Saccharomyces cerevisiae S288C: one gene and its partners. The protein of the gene in region 4 purifies or fractionates together with the protein of the main gene of each other region. This does not show direct contact. Each region holds a gene or a part of one and is shown on either strand. Other genes may lie near its edges.

The links.
Region 1: the proteins of ERB1 (region 4) and NSA1 purify together in Saccharomyces cerevisiae (affinity purification with mass spectrometry; 10 studies listed by BioGRID, with this or other methods). This does not show direct contact.
Region 2: the proteins of ERB1 (region 4) and FPR4 purify together in Saccharomyces cerevisiae (affinity purification with mass spectrometry; 3 studies listed by BioGRID). This does not show direct contact.
Region 3: the proteins of ERB1 (region 4) and NOP13 purify together in Saccharomyces cerevisiae (affinity purification with mass spectrometry; 2 studies listed by BioGRID). This does not show direct contact.

Annotation. Positions count from the first base shown.
Region 1 is NC_001139.9:297,988-302,163, reverse strand, and holds NSA1 (ribosome biosynthesis protein NSA1), read right to left. Parts: upstream 2,187-4,176; coding exon 795-2,186; downstream 1-794. Other genes in the region: CUE3 (Cue3p), read left to right, coding at 1-627; TATA-binding protein-associated factor TAF6, read left to right, coding at 2,436-3,986. UniProt on the Saccharomyces cerevisiae protein: Involved in the biogenesis of the 60S ribosomal subunit.
Region 2 is NC_001144.5:1,028,320-1,032,566, reverse strand, and holds FPR4 (peptidylprolyl isomerase FPR4), read right to left. Parts: upstream 1,734-4,247; coding exon 555-1,733; downstream 1-554. Other genes in the region: 60S ribosomal protein eL6 RPL6B, read right to left, coding at 2,799-3,314, 3,699-3,713. UniProt on the Saccharomyces cerevisiae protein: PPIase that acts as a histone chaperone. Histone proline isomerase that increases the rate of cis-trans isomerization at 'Pro-17' (H3P16), 'Pro-31' (H3P30) and 'Pro-39 (H3P38) on the histone H3 N-terminal tail.
Region 3 is NC_001146.8:306,297-310,371, forward strand, and holds NOP13 (Nop13p), read right to left. Parts: upstream 2,317-4,075; coding exon 1,105-2,316; downstream 1-1,104. Other genes in the region: TDA7 (Tda7p), read right to left, coding at 1-684; MDG1 (Mdg1p), read right to left, coding at 2,661-3,761.
Region 4 is NC_001145.3:367,594-372,817, reverse strand, and holds ERB1 (ribosome biogenesis protein ERB1), read left to right. Parts: upstream 1-2,300; coding exon 2,301-4,724; downstream 4,725-5,224. Other genes in the region: CSM3 (Csm3p), read right to left, coding at 4,884-5,224.

The DNA of each region.
Region 1 (4,176 bases), on a different chromosome or scaffold from region 4:
AATAAAACTTTGACAAGAGCATTGAAACTTTTATACGAGGCTGATGAAGATGAAAGGGATGACACTTATGATGAAGCCGATGTGAACCGGTCCGATCCTTCGAAAAGAATTGGACTTCAAGAAGACGAAGAAAGCTATGATACAAAAGATGATTCTAATGAAGTGCGACAAGATCATAACTATCATATTGTTGAAGCTTACTTGTGGAATCTATTGAAAGAGGATCCGAAATTATTTGAGAGATCAAAAAGAGGTACAAAAGTCAGGAAAACTATGAAAGAAATGACTTCATGGTCGGATGAAAAAATCGAAGGTTGGTGTCGGATGTTAGAAAGATCTCCTACCCGAGCAAGACTTTTAGAAAAGAAGTTTATGTTCAAAGGAAATAGCAAAACAGGGAAAACGTCTTATGTTCATAATCGTGATAGCCAAAATGATGGAAATGTCGTCAAAGAACAAGCCAAACAAAAAAAATCTGAAAATATTAAGAAACATGAACCTCAATCTACTGAACAGAAGAAAAGACAGCATGCTAAGAATGAAAAAAGGAAAGGGGCTAGAGCTAACCATAACCGTAAGAAGGGGCACGATAAAAAATTGGCTCGTGCGGGAAATAACGCTATTTGATAAAATGCATCAGCATACAAGATAGACAAGCGTATGTAAGTTTACTAGACGGTATACAATTATGTAACGTATTATAAGTTATTCAGCGTCGCGTTCAGGAAGTGCTTTTTTTAATAATTTTTCCCGCCGACTAGTAAAACTTTGCCTTCAATTAGCGTCCTTTACTATTAAATTTTGCTTTTCTTACTGGCTTTAGAAGCAGCTACCTTTCCCTCCAATTTATTCCAAAGCTCATCTGCGTCTTCTTCAAGTTCTGTAACCTTCCTTTTTTGCTTCCCTTTGGCAGCTTTCGCACTTGGACTTAGTGGCATCTCGATTTCAACGTCATCCAGCATAACAATAAAATTTATACGGGACCCAACATAAACCTTCACCAGCATTTTGTTAGTTTTTATATCGAAGATCCGAACATACCTATCTAAACCACCTTGTAAAAGATATTTGCCGTCATGTACATGAATATAGGTTGACGAACCAGTGATATCATCTCTACCCACCTTGCCCAACATTCTTCCATTACCATCGAATTTAAAAACATTCTTTTTGTAGTCAGTAGTAATCACATTCAGTTCATTAAAGGTTTCAGATTGAAAATTCCCCAACGAAGAGACAACATTTTCTCCCTTGGCATCAAAAACTTCCATCTGAGATAATGGTTCACGGTTAGGTAATAAATCTATCTGAGCGAACGGTTTTCTGCCATGTTGTGTGCTGTATTTGGTGAGGTGGGACCAACGGGTTATGGCTGCAAACTGGTAGTTCAGCTTACCCTTTTCAGTTTTACCAGGGGAGGGCTCCAAAAATCTTAGGGCCATGGGCCATACTGGGACTCTCATATCCAACCTGTCGTTTTTAACATTCTTGGCTTCCCAAATTTGCTTTAAAGATTGGAAACTCGAATCTATTTCCACTAATTTTATTAAATTCTCCTCCCCTCCGTATGCAAATATATATTTATCAGTATCGGTATCTTCTAGATCATATAACTGAAGAAATTCTACTGGTGCTTTCAGTCCAAGGGATGCTAGTTTTATTAACTTTTTATCTTCTCCTTTTTTTATAATATGTAATAATCCCGATTTGGTAGCAGCTACGAATGTGTTATTCGACGAATCCTTTTTTATGGGACATAATGTGACAAAACCATCCACCAACTTGGTTCTTTTAACAGATTTACTTGAAAGTGATTCCAATTTGGCATCATCAAAAAGGTCTGAAACTGAGCTGGTTATCTCAAACTCGGATATGTCAAATTTGGGTAGATCATCGGAAAGGCTCTTTTCATTTTTGCTTTCTCCTTTGGGATCGACCTGGAGAGCTTCATTTTCTTTAAGGTGTTTCGAAATCTTTACAAGTTCGACGACCCCTGAATTCCTTGCTAAGATGGCTTCATCTTCGGATATCACCCACATCCTGTCAACGTAAGCTTTCAATCCTTCGGCTAGATGAGGTGCCACATGAAAAGGCTGCAGTGCTGATTGTACGGAAGTGTCAGTCCCGATGTTACACAAAACTTCCTTTATGGATCCACTATCCACACAGCTGACTAGTAACCTCATTTTACGATCGAAGCTGGGCCTATTTATGGTTAAATTTTCTCTGTATTATGTTCATTGAAGTGAGGCTTCGAGATTGGGCATCGCTTTACAAAATTTTTCAGCTTTATTTTATTACCAAAAAAATACCCGGAAACCATCAATAACAAACACCGATTCAAGTAGCAGCAAAAGTAGTTCATGAGCGAAAACAATAGATTGGCTTTAAAAAGGAAGCAAAGGACGCCTCAGTGTAGTTGATAGCCTGTTAAAATGTCTACACAGCAGCAATCTTACACAATTTGGTCTCCACAAGATACTGTTAAAGATGTCGCTGAGTCGCTTGGGTTGGAAAATATCAACGATGACGTGTTGAAAGCACTTGCTATGGACGTTGAATACCGTATTCTAGAGATTATTGAACAGGCAGTCAAGTTTAAAAGACACTCTAAAAGAGATGTTTTAACTACAGACGATGTATCGAAGGCCCTGCGTGTTCTGAATGTGGAACCTTTATATGGATATTATGATGGCTCTGAAGTTAATAAAGCTGTATCATTTAGTAAGGTTAACACAAGTGGAGGACAGTCGGTTTACTACCTGGATGAGGAAGAAGTAGATTTTGATAGATTAATAAATGAGCCATTACCGCAAGTGCCTCGTCTACCAACTTTTACTACACATTGGCTAGCAGTTGAAGGGGTTCAACCTGCCATAATCCAAAATCCAAATTTGAATGATATAAGGGTATCCCAACCACCATTTATTAGAGGTGCTATTGTCACTGCTTTGAATGATAACAGCCTCCAAACACCTGTAACGTCGACGACAGCAAGTGCTTCTGTGACGGATACAGGCGCCTCTCAACACCTGTCTAATGTTAAACCAGGACAGAATACTGAAGTCAAACCTTTAGTGAAACACGTTTTATCCAAAGAATTACAGATTTATTTCAATAAGGTCATTTCAACCTTGACAGCGAAGAGTCAAGCTGATGAAGCTGCACAGCATATGAAACAAGCAGCTTTGACTTCACTACGAACTGATAGTGGCCTGCACCAACTGGTTCCATATTTTATTCAATTTATTGCCGAACAAATCACACAAAATCTTTCCGATTTACAATTGCTAACAACAATTTTGGAAATGATTTACTCTTTACTAAGCAATACTTCTATTTTCCTGGACCCTTATATTCATTCGTTAATGCCTTCCATTTTAACCTTGCTATTAGCAAAAAAACTTGGTGGATCACCAAAAGATGATTCGCCGCAAGAAATTCATGAATTTTTAGAAAGAACGAATGCACTACGTGATTTTGCCGCATCTTTGTTGGACTATGTATTGAAAAAATTTCCTCAAGCATACAAATCCCTGAAGCCAAGAGTAACTAGGACACTGCTAAAGACATTTTTGGACATAAACCGTGTTTTTGGGACTTACTATGGGTGCTTAAAGGGTGTATCGGTACTAGAAGGTGAATCCATCAGATTCTTCTTAGGAAACCTAAATAATTGGGCGCGCTTGGTATTCAATGAAAGCGGAATAACTCTAGACAATATAGAGGAACATTTGAACGATGACTCCAATCCAACTAGGACCAAATTTACTAAAGAAGAAACTCAAATCTTGGTTGATACTGTAATTAGTGCATTGTTAGTTCTAAAAAAGGATTTACCAGATTTGTACGAGGGTAAAGGTGAAAAAGTTACGGATGAGGATAAGGAAAAATTGCTAGAGAGGTGTGGTGTCACTATTGGATTTCACATTTTGAAAAGAGACGACGCAAAAGAATTAATTAGTGCGATATTTTTTGGCGAATAGTGAGAATCGGTTTATACTAATAGTACAACGGTAATGTTATATAACAGTTTTTACATACGCCATTGTATGTATATATATATATATGCATGATGAGTTATTTAATTGTATACTCAAAGGCCCCCGAAGTGCGAAATTGTTGTAGCTTAGTTTTATTTTATTCCCTTTTCGTCCAAGAAAAGCTACAAAGATG
Region 2 (4,247 bases), on a different chromosome or scaffold from region 4:
TAAGTCAGATTAATTTCTCACTGAAGTGTCTTACTATAACTTGCTCGTACAAAATATTCCCTTTGGTACTCCACCTCTTCAAGATGTATCTGTGTGGTAGGTTCTTGAGGTGATTTAGAAAACGGCCTTCTGATATGTTTGACTAACCCTTGAATGCAACATCTTATTGTTCTCGATTAACTTTTGTCGCGCTGTTGAAAGGGATTCAACAAAACAATGCGCTCGTCTCTAACGATCAATGGTCTATTTATCGTGTAAGTATATATGACATAAACTTTACATATTACGAAGTCATTTTTAAAACTCGAGCTCCTTTTACTCAAAGCTTCTATATTTTACTTTGAGGTCTTCCGATAATTGTATTAGTACTCTCAGCCAATATATGCATCGACAAGTAGCTGGGCGGCTATATCACTAAATAGCTCGCAAAAAAATATTGCTTTTTTATGGCAGAAAAAAACATGTAAAATTGAAAGATAATATTAGTAATGGAAGTATAGATAATTGTATATAGTATTATAGATACATATATCAATACGTATGCATTAAGGACCCTATTTCATGGAGACCAATTTAACATCAAATGTCAATTCAGAGTTAGCAGGAATACCGGGCAAAGCTTGTTTACCGTAGGCATATGGAGCAGGAATGACAATTCTACGCTCACCACCGACCGCCATACCAGCAACACCGATGTCCCATCCTTTAATTACTTCGCCTTGGCCCAACTTAAAAACAAAAGGCTTACCCTTTGTATTCTTGTCAAAAACTTTCCCGTTCTTCAACTTACCAACATATCTCATTCCAACTCTGGTACCCTTTTTGGCATGTGGGCCTTTTCCTGTGACGCGGTCTTCAATGATAATACCGCCTTCCAGTAGCTTCGTCTTTGGCTTTGGTTTGCTCTCTTCCGAGTCTTTAACTTTCTCTGCTTTCTTGTCTTTCTTGGTCGTTTGTTTTTTCTCGGCAGGTTTAGCACTTTCTTCCTCATCTTCCTCATGTTTCCTTTTACTGTCCTTCTTGTTGTTTTTCTTCTTTTCGTCCTTTTTGACTAATTCATCAAGACGACTTTCGATGTCACTAGCATCTACTAAATCATCAAGATCGTCATCACCGGAACTTAGTTCCTCATCGTCCTCTTCTTCTTCTTCTTCTTCTTCTTCTCCATTGGAAGATTCTTCGTCACTGTAATAGTCTTCTTCATCTTCGTCTGAATCTGAAGAATTGTCGAATGGATGTTTGACGTAGTTACCGGTTAGAGAGATAGTGTATGAACCGGTAACGACGAATTGAACGTCTTCCTCTGGTGCAATGGTAATATCCAAAGCTTGTTGATATTGGCCTTTTGGAGATAAGGTTAAAAGAACGCATTCTTCGAATTCATCGTCGATTTCGTTTTCATCTTCAGAGTCTTCTGATTCACTTTGCTCGACTGCCTTACCTTTTTTTGATTTGACACTCCTTTTTGGTACATCTGCTTCTTGTTCACTTTCACTTTCATCCTCTTCGAGGCCGTCATTGTTATCTTGGTTGTAGTACTCACCGCGAGTGAGTTCAGGATTCCTTTTGATTATTCTTAAAGTAGATGGCTTTTTGTCATCGTCAAAGGGCTCAGGGTCGATGGCCGCCATTGTGATTCTAATGGTAACCGGAATTTTGAAGTTCAGAGCTGGGGTTGGGGAGTATGGTTCAACATTCAGGCTATACGTAGCCAATGGAAGCATATCAGACATGGTAGAGACGTATATTTTGTTGTCTTTTTCTTTTTTCTTATCATTCTAACATGAAAAGCACTTCTTTTAACACTGTAAAATTTTCAATGCCCTTCTCTTTTCGATGCACCAGCTAAAATTTTCACTGCCTCGGGTTTGAGATAAAAATATACATAGGGCATCGAAGGCAAGAAATTGAGAAATTTAACGTTCATATGGGTTAATGATTGTATGAGAATGTCTGACGAAGAATATTATTTTTGCTGAAGTTAAACTAAGAATTAGAATTATGACTTGATACACAATGCTACTTTCTTTTGGCCAAGCTATTTGATATAAAAGTATACGTAAATACAGAAAAAGGCAACAGTATGCAGGAAGTTATTCGTAGTTCTTTCGTCACTCGAAATAAAACGTACAACAGACTTAACTTTTACGCGTGTATTAAATATCAACGCACTAATCATACACCCCACTGAGGCAGGTTTAATCACAAAAATGTTGAGATTATTTGCCGCAGCAAACTTTAGCATCTGCACTGTAGTTGCTTCCCCAGCATCCACTTAGTATGGACAAATTGGGTTGTATGTTTACCTTTTACATATATAACATTATCGCTGGCAGGTTACAGAATTTATATGGTGGTTTTGAGAGAAGTTAACACATTGGGAGGACGACTCTGATTATACCTATTGCAATGGCTCGCTAGGACAGCATTTCCTCCACAGAGACTTTGCCTCAGTGCGGTTGGAGTAGACCATGCAGCTTCCAATGTAAATGAATAGATATAGCCTAGTGGCCCAGAACGGCGATGACCTGATCTTGAACCCTTAGATATTAATATTTATGATTTTTTGTATTTTGCTATGTAAGAGAAAAAAAAAATTATAGATACAAAAAGAAGGATATAGAAAAGCACAGATAATGTTGATAGGAAAAATGAATTAGAAGAGGATTAAACTTAGATTACATATCCACTTACCTTTCCGTTATTGTCAAACAGTATTTTCAGATCAACGCATTCTCTATCAATTCTCCTTGTTTTGAAATTCTATTTTAAATCATTTATAATTTTTTCAGTTCAATTTAGAATTTCAATAGGTGTGGCTTGTCACCGTTCTTCAAAGAGAAAGAAGCGGACAAATATTGCTTCAACAATGGGGTCTTCTTGATTTCAGCCAACAAAGCCTTGTCAACAACCTTTTGATCTTCAACACGTTCAGTCTTGATTTCCTTAGTTTGTTGTTCTGGGAACAAGTTAGCTTCCTTCTTTTCCTTCTTGGTCAATTTTTCCTTGGCAAAGTATTCAACGTTGAATTTTTCAACGTTGACACCTTCCACGGAGACTTTGGTAGAGGTAGCAATGACATAACGAGCGTTGACTCTTCTCAATGGAACACCATTGACCTTGAATGGACCAGTGACCAATAGAGTGTTGTCTTCTAGATGTTTCAAGTAGACAACTCTCTTACCTCTGAAACGGCCAGCTAGCAAGATCAAAACAGTGCCTGGAACTAGAGAGGCACGCAACTTTTGTGGGCGAACAGCCTTTCTGGTTTTCTTTGGGGCAGCAACGTCTTCGGAAGGATACCACTTTGGGGCCTATAATTGACATATCGTGATGTAAATCACATATATAGTTAGTATACTACTCGTTTACTTTTTTCTTGCACAATTGATGGTGGGCATGGCGTGTGCTGATTCAGCACAAGGTTTGGTACTATCCTCAAAAAAATTCTTAGCGTAGGAAGAAGTTTACTCAGATTAGCTATAATATGAGTTATTGTTACTATGTTTCTCAGTCATTTGATGCTATATTTTCATTTTTACTAAAATCGTTATTTTCATTTTGTCCAGTTTTGTCCAGTTCATATTTAAAAGGTTAGCTCCCTTCCTGCTTTTGTTCTTGGGTAACTATTTTCCTCTAGGCACGTGTGCCATCTCCATAACCATCACATCCTTCAATTTACTCATCTTTACACATACTTGTTGGGCAGTCATTTCGTTGAATATATTTGCTTCTCTTCCAAGTTCAAGAAAGTAGTCAAACCTAAATGAGATTTTGCTTGAAAATTATCTATTGACTTTTGATCAACTGCCATATTACAGGGCCTCGCGCCTACAACATTAATTGAAACTCACACACTCTATACAGTGCAAATGGGCAAGCACAGGACCAGAATGAGGTTTGTTTCCGCCCATGTGCTCCCTCTACCGTAAACGATGCTGAACGGAAGCGCAGCCTAGAAGGCCGACTTAGCACGGCAAGTCCAGGTTAGGCGAGGATATTACTCGCCGCCTACGGGGAGAATCAGCACATGGGGGCATCCTCCATCTGCGGCCGCCCGGAGGGGACGCATAACCACAACTATGTGTTTCACCGCCATTTTGCAGCTAACAACGATTTTTGAAGGCAAGAAAAAAAATTATGACCCATACATTTTGGTGCATGGGTGATATTTTGTCTTTATTATTATTAGTAACTTTCAGATTAAGACAAGGAAGAAAGAAGGAAAAAAGGTAGGACATGAAGCA
Region 3 (4,075 bases), on a different chromosome or scaffold from region 4:
TGAAGTGGTACTAATTTGAAATGAAGTTGCAGATATGGAAGACAAGTATGTGTAACTAGGGGATATTACGGTGGGTGTTGATGGTGAGAAAATAGAAGATCTGCTGTCGAACGAAAACAATTTAGTGTCTGAATATGATGAAGATAGTGATAATGACAACGAGGACGATACCAGTAACGAAGATGGTGATGATAACGACGACCATGATGATGACAGCGATGTAGCTGATGACGATAACGTTGGTGTTGTTGATGTTAACGATGACCATTCCGACGTTATTGACGACGATGATGACATTGGTGACGTCGATGAGAAAATGGACATGGATGGTGTAATTATTGAGTATGAGGAGGTAGCTGGGTCATATTGGGAACTATACGTATCTTGCTCGCTCGATGAACTGCTGTCGGTAGATGATACTAAAGTACTTGTCGAAGATACATCAATGGATGTATGCAAAGTCTCATCATATGTTAAGCTTGTAGAATAATATGTAGGAGTAGCTGTACTAGACACGGGCGGTAATGAGGTCAGACTTCCTTGTTGGGGTACTAAAGTTGAAGTAGATGCGAAGACAACATCCGTTGATCGTGAATTCAGACTGCTACTTGGTTCACTGAATGACAGGGATATCGTATCAGATTCTCCAAGGGTGGTCCTTCCGATGGTACTATTGGAGTTCATACGATGGCCAAAATAATTACTCTATCCAGCTTTTCTTTTAGATTTCCTTCAGATATCGACGGATGGGGATTGAAATACTAAATGTGTGTCTTAAGCGAAAGTGTGCCAACAACCAGTCCAAAAAACGGATCAGTAGTGTTTCGGTACCTGGTGAGTAGTTTAGGATTTTATGAGTGTACGGCGATTATCAGTGTATTACTAATATGCGAACCGCTCCTAAAGATCTTGTTTACCTCATTTCTTTCTTCTTTTTTTTTTTTTTTTCCGTGCGTTCTCCCCGTGCCTTGATAAGCAATAATGGAAAAAATAAAAATAGCAGCAATTGGTTATACAATGTATATATAAAACATGAATGATTGAATAATTTACAAGCGAAATAATCGCATTATATACGTGGCACCTACAGTCAGTTCACGCTGATTAGTCAAACTTCACTTTCTTACCTTGTGATGGGACAATAGCTGCAGAACCTCTCTGAGCAGTGGCTAAAGCTACACTGCTCTTAGTTCGGTTATTGGAATCTACAGGTGGACGTCTGTTGGCGTTGGACCGCTTGTATTCGGGTTTGCTGCCGTTATCCTGTCCCGCACGATCGTATCCTTTGTTGTTAGAGATATCAAATGATGAGGAATTGTTTCTGGATACATTTTCAACCTTCTTACGAACTTGTCTTTTACTTCTATCTTCACCGTATTCCATTCGCAATGGCCTTCCGGCAATTTTTCTACAACTTTTATCCTTTAATGCATTAGTAGATCCTTCTTCATTCTTGAAGTCGATAAATGCGAATCCTTTACATTTACCACTATCTTCGAATGTTGCCATGCGGATTTTCACGATATCACCACAATGTTGGAAGTGTTTTCTTAACAGATCATCTGTGACATCGAATGACAAATTACCGACAAATAGAATCCTTGACGGTGGATTTTTGGACATGGCAACTAAATCGTCCTTGTCTGGCCTACCTGAATAATTTTCGGAGTCCTTGATTAGCATATTCCTTCCGTTTAAATGAGATTCAGATAATTCTAAGACCGCTTTCATCTGCTCGACGTTCTTGAAAAACATGTAGCAAAATCCCTTATTTTTCATGGCGTTAGAGTTCTTGGCAGCAACACGAGGCATGGATAACCTGGTTATGTCTTGTTCGGTGACTCTGCTCTTTTCATCTTCGTTGTCTTTTGTTTTAGCAATAAAAAATCTTACTAAATCGTCCTTTGTGGTGTCGAAGGATAAGTTACCAATCCAAACACCATATTTATTTTCATCTTTCTTCTTCTTTTTTACAACCTCGCCAGATTCATCTCCTGTTGGAGTGTTGATTGTAGATTCTTCACCCTGGGCGTCTTTCTCAGAAGCACCAGACTTTTTCTTTTCAGCATCTTCTTTGTATTCCTCGATTGACTTAGGGTCGATATTGTACTTCGCATTCAACTCCTCTAGAGTAACTTTACCTCTTCTCAAGAGACGTTTCTGTTTTTTTGATAGGGGAATGGAGCTTTTCAGGTCAATCTCAATTTCATCTTCAGCTTTTCTCTTTTTTGTTGGATCGAGTAAAGCCTTCTTGACTTGTTCCTCGTTATCCTTTTTTGTAACAGCATCTTCTTTCGACAGTTCTGTTTCTGACATTCTATCTCAAATTATAGAAAGTTGTTGGGTTTAGGTAATGTTCTGTGGGGAAAAGGATTTCTCTTTGTTGTATGGTTAAATTTATCATCTATGCTCATCGCAATTTTTTCTTTCAGACTGAAAAATTTCAGGTTTTTGCATTTCAACGGGAAACGTGACTCCTACAGAATTTTCTGAGCAAAGGCGTACAAGCGAAATACAAAGACAAGCATGTGCTTTCGGCAAAAGTGCGATCCTACATCAGAGTTTACATACAACATGGTATTGTTATTAATACATAATTAGGTTTTACATAGTTAGGTATGGCGAGTACGTCATATATTTAGGTATTCTCCTGATTGTTTTCACTTCAAAAGCTGGGCCAACTTTTTAAAGAACCCTCCATTCTTAGCAGGGTTCTTTTGGACACCTTTATTTGGTGTTTCTTTCGTGCCCTTAGGTTTCGAAGGTCTAGTAGCTTTCTTAGCTTCGATTTTTTTTGCGGCAGCGGTAGGAGCGCCCTGTTTCGTCTCGTAAGTTTGAGTCTCAGTCGCAACCTTGCCGGTTGGTTTCACAGAAGTCTCTTTAGCATGGCTTGTAATTGAGCTTACAGGTACTTTTTCTTCCGGTTTTTCAAATTTAGCGGATTTACTTAATGGTTCCTTATTTTGATCTTCTGAAGCTTCAGCGTCTGCACTTGTACTGGTGTCCTTACCGCCGCCTTTATCTTCGTCCTCTTCCTCTTCTTCCTTTTCAAGATCTTCGGCCGATAGTTCATATAATCTAGACTCAGAAGATTGCGTCTTACCCAAACCGTCCGTAACATATCCTTCACTCTTAACTAGATTAACTTTGGGGTGATTCTCTTCATACGGCTTGATTGCTTTTTCCTCGTTTACACCAACATTATTCTCAATTATCGTTGTAGTACCGCTTAAGCCATCCGCATTCTTGCCCGTTTTGTTCACCTGCTGGGTTTCATCCTCGCTATCGGGCAATTCAACCACTTCTTGGGAAAATATCGACCTTTCTCCGGTTTGTTTATTTGTCTTGATCACTCTCTTGATCTTGAACTTTCTTAATTTTTTTGCACGTTTTTCAGCTTCTGGTTCGATAAGAGGGGCATTCTTTGAAACAGCTAATCCGGCACTTTCAGGTACCAGCGTGCTAGAGCCATTTTCGCGTTGCTTTATTACGTCTTCCTCGGTAATAAAGTTGTTTTCCACTCCCTCGTCGATGTTCACCTTGTAGTCTTTGCTTGGCAGCCATTGGCCATCAACAATAAACTTGAAATAAAACTTGCTGCTAGGGCTATCAAACGTTACTGGCAGCGTTATTTCGAAGGCGCCACTGGGGTCCTTCACCATCGGCAAAGTACCTTTCCAGTCGTCGAACGTGCCTGTCAGAATAATTGCTTCGGGTCCTTTGGGCCATTTGAACGTAAATTGAGGTAAGCTCGATTGCATTCTAGAAACACTTTCCCTTTAATATTATCTTATAATGCTTAGAAAGTTAAATACCATCAAGAGAAAGAAAATTAGGTAATACAGAGGACAGAAGGACAGAAGTCGTTTCTATATTACATAAAAATCGGCCACCTTTTATTTTTTTAAACCACAAGAGAGGGGGAGAATGATGGATGTAAAACCTTAACCATGTCAATGCAAGGGCTCCCGCCCCAAAAGTTCCTATCGGGCCCCTTCGCTTCGCTGCCCCAGATATTTGCGGAAAAGGCCAGCCTCGCAGTATTTCACCAATGCCCTTACTTTGATAGTATGTA
Region 4 (5,224 bases):
TTCCATTTTGAGGATTCCTATATCCTCGAGGAGAACTTCTAGTATATTCTGTATACCTAATATTATAGCCTTTATCAACAATGGAATCCCAACAATTATCTAATTACCCACATATATCTCACCTTCTTACACTGTATATGATAATATATTAATATTAAACCAGTCAATAAATGTAATTGATTATTTCAACACGAAAACCTAACTATCAACGATATCACATAGAACAGCGAAGAGTTAGAAGATTTATTAGAAGATTTATTAGTATAGGTTATTTTAGATGCAATTTTTCAATAAAACCTGGTTTCGTGGTCTAGTCGGTTATGGCATCTGCTTAACACGCAGAACGTCCCCAGTTCGATCCTGGGCGAAATCATTTTTTTAGCACTTTAGCAGCATATTGCGGTATCGAATCATCTTCATGAATGGCGCAGATTTATTTGAACTGTTCAATCATAAATTAACCTTATGTGAATAGTCTGGGTAGGTTGAAACTTCGGAAATCACTTGCTTTTCTGAGGGCTGCGCGTAATCTAGATAGATCTACCTAAATGACACCGATGGCAACTTCAAGCTATACTAACTCCTAGACATTACTTTCTTCAGTATTCCCTTAGTGCCTGTTTTGAGCTATGAGATTGGTATTATTATTTGAAATATCTTCTATTGCGGTATCTGATTTTATATTTCTAGCTTTGTCATAAAATATAAAATACACAAATATATATATAGAGATAAGATAGATTATTTTTGATGACTTGCAAGTTGCACTAGGATTTGTTTTTCTTCTAAAAACCCCTTAAAGGTATTTCCAGAGAAAATATTATGCTGGTTATTCGATACTATTATCCAGTATACACTGACCTATGTTATAAGCAAAGGTTCTTCGTTCTGCCTCTTTAACAGGTGGAGTGCGTGCCATTATCATCAATGAAAGTTTAACATGTAATTGTCATCAGCTGTATACTGTTCGAATCTGTTCATTACGAAGGTTTAACTTCAAAAATCGAAAAGAAAAAAAATAGAAGATAAGAATATTGCATAGATCCTTCTTTTTTAGTGAAGTCACCGAATAATACATATAATGAAGTTAAAATTACAAACCGTGCAAAAACACCGCTGATTTAGAGTGGGCGATTTCATAGATCAAAAAGCAGGCTAAATATGAATTGAAAATTAAGTAGTCTACTATTTTCTGACAGCAGTGGCGCGCGACGGTTTCCAGGAAGTTTATTATTCAACGTGTCCAATTTTCACACGCTGCTTGACATCGTTATTCCCTGAACGCATTTTTACACTGTATGCGCAATTTGAGCCACTTTGATGGACTATTATGTATGAATAGCTTAGCTTAAAGAAGTAACAGTAGAGTGTTGAACCTTTAAGTGCTTGATGTACTCGAGCCTTTTTCTATGATACCTCACTCCAGAAAAAAGCGTTTAACATATCTGGCATTGAGGGTGGTCTCAAACAATAAAAGTATCCTATTTAATATTTTAACATTGCTGATAACCTAAAAAATCTGAACGTTGCCAGCATAAAACCTCAGCTTTATATCGTACTGAATAACATACTTACTGCAGGGCGAAATTTTTCTCAAATTGTGCCTAAATCGTTAAGTTACTAAACTTTTACGCGCAGTACTGGCATTGAGCGATCAATATTGTTTAATGCGTAGTGACGATCTTCTCCACTTATATTTTTTTATTCGTAGTTCTCTATTTTCGTTTCGATTTGTTTTCTCTGTCTACCAGATTAAAAGTGATTTGAAGTTTTTTATCATGAACTAAACAATAAAATTACAAAAAAAAAAAGTCAGCGTCACCAAGGATTGCTACCAATATACGACTTTACTGCTGTATTATCGAATTTTACCTTCTAGGATATTATGTAAAGTCTCTAGCAAAGGGAGAAAACTAATGTTACTAGGACTGAAGAACATTTTCCTCTTATAGTGTAAAATTGATTTTGACAAGAATATAATTAATACATTTTTTTTCTTTTGATAGCAGTATTGAGTACAATGAATTGAGCATTCAAGGTTCAACATGTGATAGTAGCTCTACCGCTAGTATGTTATTGCTAATTAAGTAGGATTGAATTGTCGCGATTTTGTCATTTTGGGTTTTAATAACTCTTGTACGGGTTACCCCATTTGTTTTTGAAGATTAGTGAAAAATTATTGAAAATTTTTTTTTTTTTGGTTTTGCGATGAGCTTATAATTTACATATGTGATATATTCGCATATAGATCCTAGCGAAGAAAGGTACTGTATTAAATCTGTTCTAACATAACTAGGTCAATGATGGCTAAGAACAACAAAACTACCGAGGCAAAGATGTCGAAAAAGAGAGCAGCTAGCGAAGAATCTGATGTCGAGGAAGATGAGGACAAGCTTTTATCCGTTGACGGTTTGATCGATGCGGAAGCAAGTGAGAGTGACGAGGATGATGACGAATACGAGTCTGCCGTTGAAGAAAAGGAATCATCTTCTGATAAAGAAGCCCAAGATGATTCTGATGATGACTCCGATGCTGAATTAAACAAACTGCTTGCCGAAGAAGAAGGTGATGGGGAAGAGGACTATGACAGTTCTGAGTTTTCAGACGACACAACTTCCTTAACAGACAGATTATCGGGTGTGAAATTGCAAACGATCGTTGATCCGAATATTTACTCAAAATATGCAGATGGCAGTGATAGAATTATCAAACCTGAAATTAATCCAGTTTATGATAGCGATGATAGTGATGCCGAAACGCAAAATACCATTGGTAATATTCCACTTTCTGCATACGATGAAATGCCACACATTGGATACGATATCAACGGTAAAAGGATTATGAGACCTGCCAAGGGTTCTGCTTTAGATCAACTGTTGGATTCTATCGAGCTACCTGAAGGCTGGACTGGTTTACTGGACAAGAATTCCGGTTCAAGTTTGAACTTAACCAAAGAGGAATTAGAACTTATTTCCAAAATCCAAAGGAACGAACAAACTGATGATAGCATAAATCCATACGAACCGTTAATCGATTGGTTCACGAGACACGAAGAAGTGATGCCATTAACTGCTGTTCCGGAGCCAAAAAGAAGATTTGTTCCATCCAAAAACGAAGCCAAGAGAGTTATGAAAATTGTAAGAGCTATCAGAGAGGGCCGTATTATTCCTCCTAAAAAATTAAAGGAAATGAAAGAAAAGGAAAAAATTGAAAACTATCAATACGATTTATGGGGTGATTCTACGGAAACAAATGATCATGTAATGCATCTAAGGGCACCAAAATTACCTCCACCAACTAATGAAGAGAGTTATAATCCACCAGAAGAGTATCTTTTGTCTCCTGAAGAAAAGGAGGCCTGGGAAAATACTGAATATAGTGAAAGAGAAAGAAACTTCATACCTCAAAAGTATTCTGCCTTAAGAAAGGTCCCTGGTTACGGTGAATCTATTAGGGAAAGATTTGAAAGATCTTTGGATTTATATTTAGCTCCTCGTGTCCGTAAAAACAAATTGAATATTGATCCTAATTCTCTAATTCCAGAACTTCCCTCTCCCAAGGATTTAAGACCCTTCCCTATTCGTTGCTCAACAATATACGCTGGTCACAAAGGAAAAGTACGCACATTATCCATTGATCCTTCTGGATTATGGCTAGCAACAGGATCTGATGACGGAACAGTCAGGGTATGGGAAATTTTAACTGGTAGAGAAGTTTATAGAACTACTTTAATCGATGACGAGGAAAACCCAGATTACCACATTGAATGCATTGAATGGAATCCTGATGCTAATAATGGTATTCTCGCCGTTGCTGTTGGTGAAAACATTCATTTAATAGTACCACCAATATTCGGCTACGATATTGAAAATAACGGCAAAACTAAGATTGAAGATGGTTTTGGCTACGATACTTTTGGGACTGTTAAAAAATCTAACCTAGAAGTGAACGAGAATGGTGATGGCGATGAAGATGGAGAGAATGAATCTGCTAAGAATGCTGTAAAAAAACAAGTAGCCCAATGGAACAAGCCTTCTCAAAAGCAACTAGAAAAGGATATTTGTATCACTATTTCTTGCAAAAAAACAGTAAAAAAGCTTTCATGGCATAGAAAAGGTGATTACTTTGTCACTGTTCAACCTGACTCTGGTAACACTTCTGTTTTGATTCACCAAGTTTCCAAGCATTTAACCCAATCCCCATTCAAAAAATCGAAGGGCATTATTATGGATGCGAAGTTCCATCCTTTTAAACCTCAATTATTTGTCTGTTCCCAAAGATATGTCAGAATTTATGATTTATCTCAACAAATATTGGTCAAGAAACTGTTGCCTGGTGCCCGTTGGTTATCGAAAATCGATATTCACCCAAGGGGTGATAATTTAATTGCGTCATCGTTTGACAAGAGAGTTTTATGGCACGACCTGGATTTGGCTAGCACACCTTACAAGACACTAAGATATCATGAAAAAGCCGTCAGAAGTGTGAATTTCCACAAAAAGTTACCTCTATTCAGCTCTGCCGCTGATGACGGTACCATACATGTTTTCCATGCCACTGTTTATGATGACATGATGAAAAATCCGATGATTGTGCCACTAAAGAAACTAACCGGTCATAAAGTAATCAATAGTCTGGGTGTTCTTGATGCTATTTGGCATCCGAGGGAAGCTTGGCTGTTTTCTGCCGGTGCTGATAATACGGCTCGCTTATGGACCACCTAGATAAATAATTTGAAGTAGATATTGTATAATAACGCCCAAGAAGAAAAAATCAAACACTCGAACCAGGCTCTTTCTACAAGCTTTATTTACACAATATATATAAACCTATATGTATAGATGCCCACACGCACGTTTGGATTATTACCTTCAATGACATTGCTAAAAGCCCATTTCCTTCATAGCATCCAACTCATCTTGATCTACGCCAAACTCATCTCCCCCTGGCAATAAATCATAATGAGTATGTTGTCCCTCTATATCATTCATTTCCCACTCTTCCAAACTTTGAATCAGTTGAACGTCTTCTTCAGTCATAGAGCCTTTTTCCATTTTTCTATGCGCATCTAGCCATCCTAATAAGAGCTTCTTCTCATTTTCTTCAAGGCCAACGGGCCCTTGTACCCTGAATGTCTTCAATAATGCATCCAAATCTTCCTTAGGCGGCACAACGTTGTTAAGTACCGTTTCATTATTCCCACGTTCGTCCAAAACTCGTCCTC